Linked DNA regions of Schizosaccharomyces pombe. The protein of the gene in region 1 interacts with the protein of each later gene in a pairwise test. Each region holds a gene or a part of one and is shown on either strand. Other genes may lie near its edges.

Evidence for each region. Proteins that work in one complex are often made in the same cells at the same time.
Region 2: the proteins of apc13 (region 1) and apc15 interact in binary tests that used the Schizosaccharomyces pombe proteins (3 or more experiments, as listed by UniProt).

The regions. Positions count from the first base shown.
Region 1 is NC_003423.3:1,831,293-1,839,109, forward strand, and holds apc13 (anaphase-promoting complex TPR lobe accessory factor Apc13), read right to left. Parts: upstream 4,064-7,817; 5' UTR 4,004-4,063; coding exon 3,596-4,003; downstream 1-3,595. Other genes in the region: Hsp90 co-chaperone Cdc37, read left to right, coding at 1-6, 336-346, 389-1,728; SPOM_SPBC9B6.11C (CCR4/nocturin family endoribonuclease), read right to left, coding at 1,875-3,157, 3,287-3,512; SPOM_SPBC28E12.02 (BICC1 family RNA-binding protein), read left to right, coding at 5,035-7,026. UniProt on the Schizosaccharomyces pombe protein: Component of the anaphase promoting complex/cyclosome (APC/C), a cell cycle-regulated E3 ubiquitin-protein ligase complex that controls progression through mitosis and the G1 phase of the cell cycle.
Region 2 is NC_003423.3:1,514,837-1,520,560, reverse strand, and holds apc15 (anaphase-promoting complex platform subcomplex scaffold subunit Apc15), read right to left. Parts: upstream 3,866-5,724; 5' UTR 3,835-3,865; coding exon 3,727-3,834; exon of another isoform or gene 3,660-3,726; coding exon 3,357-3,659; 3' UTR 2,987-3,356; downstream 1-2,986. Other genes in the region: rtc6 (mitochondrial 54S ribosomal protein bL36m), read left to right, coding at 71-349; RNA-binding protein Yme2, read right to left, coding at 572-2,893; tas3 (RITS complex subunit 3), read left to right, coding at 4,433-5,724. UniProt on the Schizosaccharomyces pombe protein: Component of the anaphase promoting complex/cyclosome (APC/C), a cell cycle-regulated E3 ubiquitin-protein ligase complex that controls progression through mitosis and the G1 phase of the cell cycle.

The DNA.
Region 1 (7,817 bases):
TGACAGGTATGAAATATACGGTTTGGAGAGGAAATCGGCTCTGTAAGGACAATGGTTAAATACTCTACATGATGCCTTTGATTGGAGTACAATAAAAGAAGTCGAAATGAAATTTCATTAGTAGGATGGAATAAATTCAAAAATAAAATTCAGACTCATCTTTTTATCATTTTGAAGGACATGTTGGGTTCAAAAAGGCAATCATTAATTTGCAGTTTGTATATTTGATGCCAATTGGGTTCTTTTAGCTAATAAACAACCATTGTCAAAACATTCCTTTCTTTTCCTTCTTCATTTATTTTTCGTTTTGATAAATTCATGCTAACAACATTTAGTGACATTGAAGGTTTGTTACGGGTTGTATTCATATTAAATTAACCACATGCAGTTCATCCAAATGTCGATAAAAAGTCTTTTATTAGATGGCGCCAACGTGATATCCACGAAAAACGGGCTGTTAGAAAGCAAAAAATGGAAGATATCAAAGGTGCAATGGCGATGAATCGTAGACTCTTGTCTCGCATCTCCGAAATGGAGACTGTTCTTGAGAAGGAATCTCCTTCGGATCCTTATGTTTTATTGGGTTCATTTTTAGAGGCAAAAAAGTCTGAAGATATGGATAGTGCCATTCCTGGAGGCATGTCGTATCATCATATGCTTATGTCTTTATTAAAAGTAATTAAAGATGCCGAAGACACTACCGAAGAAAAATCTATGGATGATTCGGATAAATGCTTGAGACGATTAAAGTCACACAAAGAGCGTCTTCTGAAGTTGCTAGAAGATGCACAAAAGGAGTATGATACTTTAGAGGCTGAGAGTAAAAATTACATCACTTCTGAAGACTTGCATTTGGGCTTTGATTCCACCTATGTTCAGAAAAAGGAGCCTGAAAAACCTAAAAAGACTAAAACCAAAAAGGAGACCATCCAGGTCATTGAATCTCTTAATAACCCTACACCTCCTACTGATTTTCCCGGCGCTAAAGAGCAAGCTTCTACTGGTAATGCCCCTAAAAATCCTGTCAATGAGAATGAGTCGGAAGATGAAGAAGGGTTGTCTCTTTCTGAAGATGGTAAGAAGTTTGCCAATATTGATTTTGGTGATTATTCTTCATCGGAAGAGTTTTTGAAAGAACATTTAAATATCTTGGCAGATGAGGAAGAATCTGATGCTATTCTTTTGGAAGCCTTTAATGCTGAACTAGAAGGGAAGCCGTCCTTAGCAAAACAATATGTTCATCAAGCCCTTTTGATCAGCTATTGCAGACAGCTTGGACCAAATGGTTTATCAATATTTTTTCAAAAAATTAAAGACCCAAATCACCAATCTCAGCGGCTATTTTTAGAGGATGTTCATAATACATATGTCCGAATCCATGAACGTTCTGCTGCCATCAGCAAAGAACAAGCTGAAAGCGGTGAAGGAGTAGAACAAATCCAGCTCTGTGCAGTTGATCCTAATACGAAACTTTCCATCACCATCCCGGAGGCAGGTTCTACTGATCCAGAGACACAAAAAGCTCGTGCAGCTTTTGAGTCTTTTCCTCCTAACCTCCAAAAAGCTCTTATGACCAATGATTTAGACAAGATTAATGTAGTTCTTGGAAAAATGGCAGTTGAAAATGCAGAAGAAGTTGTGGAAAAGCTCAGCAGTACTGGTATGTTGAGTATCGAAGAAGGAATCATCGACACAACGAAAGGTGAGACTATTCCTCAATTGTCTTAAATTTTTCTGCTTACGGGTGTGCTTTTAGTAAGCGAAAACACCAAAGTTACATGTTTGCCGTTGGCATTTTTAAATGGATAAACAACAATGAAATTTTATTTATTGATTTACCATACCTTGTGTGTACCGTATAATAAAATAAGTATTTAAACAATTTGTACATTTGCCATCAAAGCAACGTGGTCGCTGGGATATCTTCCTTCTAAAGGCTCCGCTTCCTTCATCTCACTGGGTAAAGGCACACGTAACAGTGCCTTTAATTTTATACCTTCAACGACTTGATTTTCGGGAGTTTGAAGTGAGGTATCACGATTCATAACAAATATGTAGTCCAAATGGCCCTGGTAAGCATGAGCCCAATTGGTAAATGCTGGATGATCAAACGTATTTTTTGCATTTTCTGGGTGAACCAGTTTATAGCCCACTGAATAAAGACTGAAAAGTACGGGATTTTGCTCGTGCTGCTGATAAAAAGAACGGTAGTGAGGTACATAGTCATTTTGTACATGCAAAATTCTCTTTTTTGGGGTAGAAGCTGTGGATTCGGGAACACTTGAGGTAGAAGAGGATTGACATTCTTCTTTGTCATCTTCATTGGAATCATTTTCTGTCTTAGTACTAGCATTTTTTTCTTCCAACTCAGATTCCCCAAATACGTAATTCATACTACGTTCTATAATGTCAGTAGCCCTTTGGCAGATGGATAGAGGGCGGGTAGTTAGCGCAGGAAAGTTGGTATCGAACGGTTCAGTGTTGAAGTCACCAGCTATAAAAACAGGCCAAGAAGGATGACTTTGTGCCATCTTGTTTACTTCCTTTACCAATATTGCACCTTGGCGTAACCTTTCGTAAGAGCCGTAAGGATGCCAAAATAAATGTGTAGTAGCCAAGAACAACCCTCTGCTCGGGTCATCTACCCTTTCAAGGCGTACACAACAACCGATGTTCTTGGTGTTCATTCTACCTGGTAATTCATCATGATCATCGTAATAAATAGTCAAATCTTGCACCTTTTTGAACAAAGAGGATTTCCAAAAAATCATAATTCCATGAGTTTTACCTTCACCTTTTATGAAATGCAATTCATAACCCAATCCACCTAATAACTTCTTGTAGAAATTAGGAACAAATTCAGCATCAACTTCTTGCATACATCCCAAAGTTGGTGAATAATAGGTTAATTCATTAGCGAGCATTCGTGAGCGATTTTTCCATTTTAATGCCTCACCACTGTGTGGAAACATTGAACGACGAATATTTGTCTGAGCAAGTACGTTGTAAGTCATAATAGTAATATCCAATGCAGACTTTTCAGTTTCAAACGGTGCATAATTAGGGATGGAGAGCATTTCACGCTTTATAAAGTCCGTATTGAATTCGGGTGGAGCATTGCTTGGTGGAGCAATAGGTTTTCGAGCAGCCTTCTTAGCTAATAATCAGTTAATAAAATTGAGCAACAAAAAATTAAACAAAGGAGTAGAGATTCGGTCTTAAAAAAAGTTTCACAACAACCTTCTTATTGTTGCTCGACTAGATGAACGAAAATTTTTTTTCATACCCATTTTCTCAAGTTTTTTTTGGCGTTGTTTCTCTATGTATTCAGGCGTTACGAACGAAGGAGGGCCTTTAGCTGAGCCTTTTTTCTTAACGGGTATCGAATCTGCCATCTTGTTCTTTTTCTGATCAAAGAATGATATAGCAAGTTTGGATAATCTATAATCAGTGTGGAATCGATCGATAAAAAACTTCAAAGTCAATGTACACGTTTTAGGACAAGTGTACATACAATGACTTTTGAGTAGACTTTATTTAAGTTTTCACAGCCGAAATGGATTAACGACTGTTGGTTCGTACAACCTCAGGTATATCATCTAAAATACCGCATACTAGCGTGCTCTCCTTGATGCCTTCTGTTCGCTTCAAGAAAAGGAGCCATTGGAGCTTCTTTGACTGATTTGAAAGGATCTGTTTCAAAATTATCTTCAATTGTATTTTTACCCTCGGCATTTGAAGAGCCTTGAATGAATGCAAAGGCATTAACTAAATCTTCGAGTTCCAAATCTTTCCAAGCCGGTTCATGCCTAAGCTGTTTGTTTTTCATTAAGATTAGATTTGCACTAGAATGTTGAATAGTCATCTCATCTTCTGTAACAGGTGGTAAGTGTTCTACTCGCACTTCGACATCGTCAACTGGAAGTCTATCTTTTAGCCAATCCGAGGCAAACAAAACTACTCCCGGTTTATTCATATGAACATAATTGTAATTCGAATCCATTAATTGTTTTACTGATTCCAAGTAGGAGACTTATGGTGCTTTTATACGGTTGGTGTTATTGGAGAAGTCGGTGGTAAGTGTGTAAACAAAGCATTTAGCAGCAAAGTCTACTAGTTGGGGGGAGGGAGATCTTTCCATGAAAATCAATTATAAGAATTCTAGATTAATTTCTTATTCACATAATTCTATGAACTTTTAAGTAGAAATAAAAATCAGTTAGGTGGTTTGCTACTATTCTTCTCAAAACCTTCGTCTCTTAATCTATTTATTCCTATTGGCATGTTATTTTTCTTGATAAATAAGGTAAATATATGTGCTTGCTTAGCTTACAAATTTCAAAGAATGACACTAATAGTGCAATGTTTTACTTAAGCTATGATTGTGTCCAAAACCCTAGCAATACTGACAGAGTTATAATGAAAAATTAAGCGTATATTTCACAATCATATAATCATATTCCCCCTTTTCTGAAAAAATGTCAATGGCAAATCATATACTGTTTTGAGTTAAAGAGGCTTTGGCAGATCATAAATCAGCCATCCTAATTAGTAAAAAGAATACAAAATTGTGATGGTTATGTTAAAAGTATTCCTAGTCATTAGTGCATCACCTTAGAGTCATGTGCTGTATATATATATGTGTCTACCTTTGCATAAACAAACTTGTATTCCACAGTCAAACTAGTACAATACACATCGTTCTGCGAAAACGTTCTGTTTATTTTTCAGCAAAAAATTAAAGTTTAAGCTATCATTCATTGCCAATCGCATATCAATTCCAAGATTTATTCATTGTTTATTTACATTTGGAAGCTAAACAATAACTTTCACGGAAGCAACAACACAACCAACAACCAACCCTTCAGAAGTAACTTTCGGAATAATTTTGTATTCAAACCTATATCGTTTATCATTCCTTTGGATTTCTTTTAATCTTTCTTTCGAACACGAAAAACTTACTCTTCACTAAGCTTCGAAATTTCCAATCAAACGATTTAACAATAAGAAAATTTTGTGCTTAAAATCACCAAAATGGATTCTCATGTTTTAGCATTTCCAATTCCTGATCCATCTACACCTCCTCCCGAAGAGGCATCCCTTTATGCTAGTAAATGTGACTATTATGAAAGCGATATTTACTCTCAAATTAGGAGATTAACCGAAGAAAAGTGCATTGAGACAGAAAAAGAGTTGCCAGTTAATATAAAACTACATGTCAAACATAAAGGAATGAGCATATCATCTTCCCGCAATGAACTAGTGGTTACTGTTTCAGGAAATTATAAAAATGTGTACACTGCAAAAATAAAGATTTTGCAAGCCATTCCCAAAATTCTAATCAGCAAACTTGTGCTCGAAGAACCCCTCGAAAACCTCCTTTTTGATGAAGATGGGTACGTTTATGAAGACACTATGAAACATTTGGACAAAATAACGGAAATAACGGGAGCAAAAATTTATATCATGCATCGTTCCATGTGTCATGATATCGATTTTCAGCTACGTACTGACAGCGGATTCAGCAATCGATTAAATGAACAACAAAGCTTCTACCAAAGGCATTTAGAGTCTACTAGGCATGAATTTTCATGTCAAAAGAACGCAGAGAATTCTTTTTTTATTGTCTTTTATGGTGACTATTGCAGCGTTGAACATGCTAGAATTCGCGTATTAGCATTAATGGATGAAATCAGAGGATTATCGGTAGTAGCTATTGCAACTTCTGTATCTTTTCAGCCAATTCTCGTTGGAAAAGCATTTTCTAGTACTGCCGGAATGAAGGCTACTGAATCAATTAATATTTATACATTACCGTTTTGCAGCGACTCAATCCCTCGGCTTCAAACCTTACCCGCCTTAAACTCAAGTAAAATAATTATTACAGGAGAAGAGGAAAAATTGCAAAGACTCGAAGAGGCGTTTTATTACGCAGAAGAACATCTAAAACTGTTTACTCACGTAACAGAAATTTCATTTGTTAAGCTTTTCGAATTTCTCGCTTACGAAATGGATGAGCTTCGGCTTATTATGGAAGAAAATTCTTCGTTTATTCGCTTTCCTGAGTATTTCAAAGAAGGAGGAGAAACGAGCCCAGAAAATTCAAAAGTCAAAATCTACTCATCTTCTATAGCGAATTCTGAAAAAACAGCACTCCGATTGGCAAAGCTTGCAAGTAAATATGTACAAGGAAAAACTCAGTTTGGAGTTGAAGACAACGAAGACTTTCTGAGAGTTGCTGGTTCTTGGAGAAGAGCGTCTACAATTGAAAAAGGAGTTTCAAGCTCTGAATTGTCCTCTATTGTATCCTCGACTGGCTCCATAGTGGAAACAAATGGAATAGGAGAAAAAATGTCATTCTCTCCTCTTAAGAAGCTAAGTATTCCACCAACAGAATTTGTAGCTCAAATTGCAATAATTTGCATGGCTTCTGGAGTCGAAATGCTCCTAAAAACCAATGGGATTGAATATTTCGGACAAGAAAACACCGTGCCTATAGCAATGGATAAAGCAAGCAAAATATTTTATAAATTTGGACAATCCCAATGGCACCAGATACTGCTTGAAGCCCCAACCAAGGATCAAGATTTCATATCCGGTAAAAAAAATGGAAAACTGGATAAGGTAAAGCAGCAATGCCGTTTCAACTTAAAGAATGGGGACATCTTGTTTTGTCCCCAGTCGACGAGTATATTCACGGTTGATATATATAGTGACGAATTGGAAAGAGTAATTAAAGGAATGAACACAATGTTGCTTGAATTTCCAGCTGAGATGCACTTTTACGTTCCAGAGGAGATTCACAAAAAACTCATTGGATTTCGAGGAGAGCAAATCCAACGTGTAACTAAACTTTATAATAGTTACATTGAATTCTCAACTACTCCTTTTGACTGTTACGGGCACAACGTGCTCATTCGCACACCATCAAAGTTCTCCGAAAATTTGTGGGCCGTCCGATCTTTATTCATTAAGACAGCTGAAGGATTAGGATACGACATCCCGAAGTATTTGTTTGCTAATTGAATTTTAAGTCAGAATCCAGTCATCGACCTGCCCATAGATCACCACACTTTCTCGTTATATTTTTTATGTCCATAACAGACACTCAAGCTGGTTATTAAATTCGGAAACTAAATTTTTTGAAAATCAAAAGTGCTCCACTGTATCAACTTTGATACACATCTTAAGTGCACAATATAATTTAATGAACGTGATCCACGCAGAATTTTGAAGCACATGACAAGTTTAAACTTTAAGCAGTTCAACGATTTGTGCAGGACGGCAACCACTGTTCGTATGCCTTTTTTATTTCTTATTTTGTTAATAAATTGTCATTGAAAACAAAAGATAAAACGTCGATAAACACAGCTAGATTGATATAATAACAACAAACATCTTTTCAGTAAAAAGAAGTAGAAACTGGCACTAACCGTTATTAATCAACTTGCTATACGCTGTGACATCTAACACTCTTTGACCAGTTAATTAGAATCGTATTTGATGAGAAAACGATATTGAGTTAATCCATCCACTTTCTTTGGAATGCATGATGATTAAATTAGTAAATTAAAGAAACAAAAAGGGATTACACAAGAGTTGTTAAACATAAAGACGTCGTTCGACTATAAAAAAAGACGTGTGAACCGTAATGCACCCTTTGCGGTTATTGGGTTTCTTCGGTTTTTTTTATACAAATTATATTACGCTTAACTGAACGAACTAATCAAGTAGCACAGAAACAAGCCACTCTTATTTTTTCTCAAGAGTCGAGCAATACTTCGTTCTCGCTGACAGGATTGCTAATAACACTAACG
Region 2 (5,724 bases), 320 kb from region 1:
TTACTTCGGATCCAAAAAAATTTAAACATCTTGACTTGAAGTCCCAGTTTCACTTTTTTTTTAACTTATAATGGCTTCATTAGGTCGTAAATTTTTTGCTGTGGGTGTTTTGTCACGAGTCTTCCCTTCTGCTTTTAATGCACAAAAAGGGTTGTTAAAAAATGCATCTATGTTCTTAACCCCTGCTTTCAGACTTTCTCCTAGCCTTCTACCTTGGAACTTTTCAAGAGGTTTCAAAGTGAAAGCATCAGTAAAAAAGCGTTGTTCATCCTGCTATTTTGTGCGTCGCAAAGGTAGGTTGTATGTACTATGCAAAAAACATCCGAGACATAAAACCCGTCAAGGTTAATGACTATAACCGGTTTCGCTTCTTCTTTTTTTTTCTACCTAGGCTAATTCTTCATTACGCTCACTTCATATTACGACGATTTTTGGACTACCTACCAAATCCTTACTCCCTTCTCTCTCGTTAATGCGTAGTCATTAAATGTGATATTATTGTTGACATTATAGCTTCATGCTAAAGAATTCATAAAAACATACGTAATCTTAAATGATATGCTTTCGCATCTTAGTCGATTTTTTTCAAAGCCTCAGTAAGCCTTTCTATACTTTTCTCATTATCAGTAATAACACCTTGATTTTTCTGGATACGCGTCGTTAAGTAATGAGCACGATCCTTCACACCTGATTCAAGGTTCCCAAGGTCCTTTAGCATTTGTAGCTCCTGTTCATCATTCTTGATAGCATTGTTAGCCATGCCAATTAACGCGTTACATCTCACCAACTGCATATTAGCACTTAATACTGGATCATTTACAAGTTGCCGGAAAGCCGTAACATATACAGGTTTTCCAGCGTAGACTTTATCCGGTCTTGCATTCACTGTGGTAATAGTAATCAATTCTGATTCTTCCAAGGCACGAACGGCATCGTCGTGTCCTTTGAACAGTGGGTCAAGCATCAACATATGATAGGGTATATATTCATGTTGAGATAAATAAGTAATTAAGGTCCATGACTCTTCTGGAGTGAACGTTGGCTTCTCCTCACTGGTTAAAGAAGCAGGCCGTAAAAATGTTTGCAAAATATCAGAGGCATTTTGACTTACAATACCGCCAATTGCTTCAGAAACACTGGAAGAATTAACCCGCAACCTACGAGCTACATAATCAAGATCACGAAGTCGGCCACCAATCTTCGGTAATTGGACCCGCAATTCTTTCCTCAATTCTTCTGTTTGCATCTCTTCGGGTAAAGACTCTATGACATATCGCTGAGCAAGTACAGGGTCAGCATCTCCTAATAACAATGTTCTATTTTCCCAACCGTTGACATATTGCTCTAATGACTTGGTGCCTCCAACATCGGGTGTTAGCATTAGTACATGAGCAATTCCTTCCTTTACCAAATTACCAGCCCATTCAGCAACCACTCTCTGCATCGGGTTTGATAATTTACGAAGCTGGAAATTGTCGAGAATAACAACAGGTAAGCGATCTGCATGAACTTCTAAAAACTCAGATTCATCCAACACACTAGTATCGGCTTCTTTATGCTCTCGTAATGCTAGAGAACGCAATACCGTTTGTGTTGTGTTAAGAATTTGCCGCACTTGTCCTTCACTAGAAGAAACAATTCCCGTTTTTTGTCCTATGAGACCTTGTGCAGCCATATCGATAAGTGACGATATGTTGTTTAGGAAGCTAAAGAGGGGGAAATACCCCGTTTGGCTAGCAAGAGTACTTACGAACATTTCCGTATTAGTAGTGGAGAATAAGCGATCACAGTCGAAAAACAAAACATTTTTTCGTTCTTTAACAACTCGATCTACCAGATCACGCTTACCACTACCACGAGGACCTTGAACAACAATAAAAGAATGTAATGCTTCATCCAACCATTCTTTCAACTGTTCACAATCCTTTTCACGTGTTGTCCAAATCGGTGCCTTTATATTTGTACCATTTTCGTGAAAGGGACTCAAAACTATATCGCGAGTTTTCTTTTTGACCCACCCAACAACATTGATATTTCTCAACTTCTGACCATGTACAATGTTTGTCTCGACAAAGAACTTTCTTATCGGATCGAATAAAGAAGCCGTTAAAACTGTAATAGCCGCCGCAACCAAAGGAATAGTAAAACGAGGATGAGAGAATAACCAGTCTTTGAAGGCGACAAAGCGGTTCATATGTCTGTATCGCATGTGGAATTCTGTTTTCCCATAAACAAAACCATGCATACAGTTTAAAGCTGACGTAGCGGACCTTAGCGATGAAAAACTCAAAGTAGCAGAAGTAGGTGAATTAATGGTCACGGATCTTAGTTTTCCATATGTCCTAAAAATACTATACAATCTTTCCTGGGAAAGGGGCGGACCTTCGAAATTCACATCTACTGTACGAGATGGAAATATATATAAATCTTGAAGCCAAGGAATACCATGTACCATGTGTGGAATCGGGGTAGAGAAAGGGTGTAAAATTGTTCGAACTGGACGCTTTCGAAATGATTCACGGACGTGTTCTGAAACCGCTTCTGTATCTTGTGGGAATTCCTTGTAACGTACTTTTAAAAATGCTCCTCCATCTTGCCATCTGAATATGATATCTTCCAACTGCATTGTATCAGAGCTTGGAAAAGCAGCACTTAGCTGCTTTTTCAAGTTGTTCTGAAAGAGCAACGCAGTGTATCGCTGAATGTAGAAATAGGTTGGAGTATTGACGAGATTATCCACGAAGAAAAGACCTTCATTTGGATCTAGCTTGATATGACCAATATTATGTGCCACTAAAGAATGAGCATAGCGACGTGGAAACATAAACGGTCGTGCATGACCCAAAAATGAAGTATTTCGTAACCCCGTGAACCGAGATAGAAACAAATTCATAGTTTCGGGTAGGCTTTAAATTAGTTTCAACGATGTCTAAGAAATACACAACGGTTTGTTGCACTCCAATATGAATATTCAAACACCAAAAACGAACAGCCAAGAAAATGATTATTTAAGTTATACGGTTAACAGTAAGTCAGGATTCCAAATGGGATCTGTCAATGATGTAAAAGGCTAGTGGTTTAAGAACATTGCTTAAAAATGCTAAATAAAATTAGCATTGTAAATTTAGACATCGTTAAATAAATTCAAAACAGTAGAATCAAATGGGTCATTTGAATCATAAAGAGTTGATAGCCTTTTAGCATGCATAGGTTGTGTATCCAGTTATTATCTTCAAGTTCTTTTTTCGTAAACAATTATGGGAATAAATTCGATTGTACATACATTTTTCAATCGGGTAATGCAGCAGCATAGCTTTAGCAATCATGGTTGATTCGATATTATTATTTTTAAAGCCTTAATTTTGAAATCCGTATTCACTTATATCTTCGTAAAATTCAGAGGCGTCAGCATTTGTGATATCAGCATCCAAGTCGACTTCTTCAATATCGTGATCTTCTACTTCTTCATTATCACCATCCATATCGTCCATTTCGCCTTCTTCAGGAAAGCTCCCACTTCCCAATTCTTCTTCATCCAACTCAGTGTCTTGATTAGCCTCTTCGCGCTCTTGCTCTTCCAAATCAAGCTGCTCTTGCATAGACCTATTTAATCCAATGGGCCGAATAGTGCGAAATCCAAACTGTTTAATTGCAAGCTCCTAAGATTCGTTCAAGTTAGACTTTTCTCATGCACAGAAACTCGTTGAAAATCGTAAACAAACATACCTGAGTCTCCAGTCTAACTTCTTCCTTTTCCAATTCTTTCATAGAAGGAAAAGACGTAGGATACCATAGTTGATGGGCTGTATTAGCCATCAACGACATAAACGACATGATTTTATGCTGCAAATAAATATTGGTATTCAAGAATCAGCTGGTGTATTGTAAGACTAAAGGCGTTACTATGGTGACTGGGTTATTTACTAACCCAGTTCTGTACAATAAACAAAAAATGTAAACACAAAGCAATGCTGAGAAGCCACAAAATTAACTTTCGTGTTAATTTTTGGTTCACGTATTAATTAACAAAAGCTGTTGAACTTATTTCTCCTCTTATTTTTGACTGATTTGAAATGTTTATTGCAACGCTTGAACAAGATTATTAACTAAGAGTATCAAAATGCTTATTTTCCTTTAATGAAGAGGTCAAGGGATAAGAAATACTTATGTTCCGTAACGTTTCATGTTCAAGTTTCAGCATTTAAGTAATTGAAACTGGCTACTCTTTTCAATTTCACGTAGGTGTACTTTAAATTGGGTTTTTTAGGATTCAATTATTTGCAAATACAAAATTTCAGAAAAAAGATACCTGTATGTATCTCGATTAATATCCTTACTATCTAATGTTACACATACTCATCAAACTTCTTAACTTACTCCTAACCACTATAATTTAATGAGAGCTTTTGATCCTATTTGAGCTACGATTTTAATGGAGAAAGGAATCAAAAAATATCTTCCAAGTTTACCGTTTTTAGCTTGTATTTCAGACTTTCCCGAAAATCATGGAACATCTCGGCGATCAGCAACTGTTTCGCTAGAGCGAGTTCACGAATTATTCACTGAACATTGGCTTTCTAATCTAAAAAATAGGAGAGAAAAAAGGCAGGAACTAGCTGAAGAAGCAGTTTACTGCCGCTCTGAAATGCTATCGCAGAGGAAATTGCTGGCTGCTGTTGACTTCCCACAGCAACTTAAGAACAGTCCTGCTAAAGCAAAGGCAACCCATACTTCCTCTGGAGTCACAAAGGAGGTAAGAGCTTCAAAAAAATACACATCATCTAATGTTGAGTTTCCACTCGTTACGGATGGAAAGGAGAAGCCAGTGAAGTCGAAACAACTAAGAAAGAACTCCGTTACTGAATTTGAAAAACCTATAGAAACGAAAAAAAGCAAACATCGGAAAAGCAGAAACAAGTTTTTAGATAAAAGCTCAGGAAGCATGGAGATTGAATCGTGGGACAACTCTACTTCTGATTCAATAATAGAGTCATCTTCTAGACTGCATGAAAGCATTTCACTTCGTGAAAATGATATTCGCAGTTCTGACTCTAAGTCTGTTGGCTGGGATGATAATTCTACTGGATTTCGTGAATCTTCTAAGTCTCTTGATCATACCGATACGTCGATGTTTATGGAGCTTGATTCGAATAGCGATCCACAATTTCGTCCGAAGTATCAAGCAAAATCCTCTTGGTTTGCCCCCGATGATCCTGAAGCTTCATGGGGAAACCTGGATGATGGTTGGGGCGAAACTAATGGTTCTTGGAGCTCTACAGATGATACAAAACATTACAAAAACGAATGGGCGGAGAGTATAAATCTTGACAATTTCAATAGGCCTTCACAACAAGAGGATTACGACAAACCGAAAAACACTCAGGTTTCAAGATCATCGAATCATCATCGACGATATGATTCTTACCATCCAGATAGTCGTTCAGATTCATATAGGTCCAAACGAGAACATTACGATAATAGAGATACAGGGCCTCGAAGTAAGCATTTGGAGAAATCTTCGTATGTATACAACCAAAATTTTGAAGATCGCACTCATTTATCAGACCATGGAGCCCATTTTCATTTAGGGAATGCCAATGATTTTAATATGCAAGGTTCGTCGCGTAAAAGAAAAGCCTCTGATCGTCAACGTGAATCCAGAGAAAATGAGCTACCAACTAAAAAGCTTAACGCTTCTGATTCACATAACCCGCTAGCTTCCTT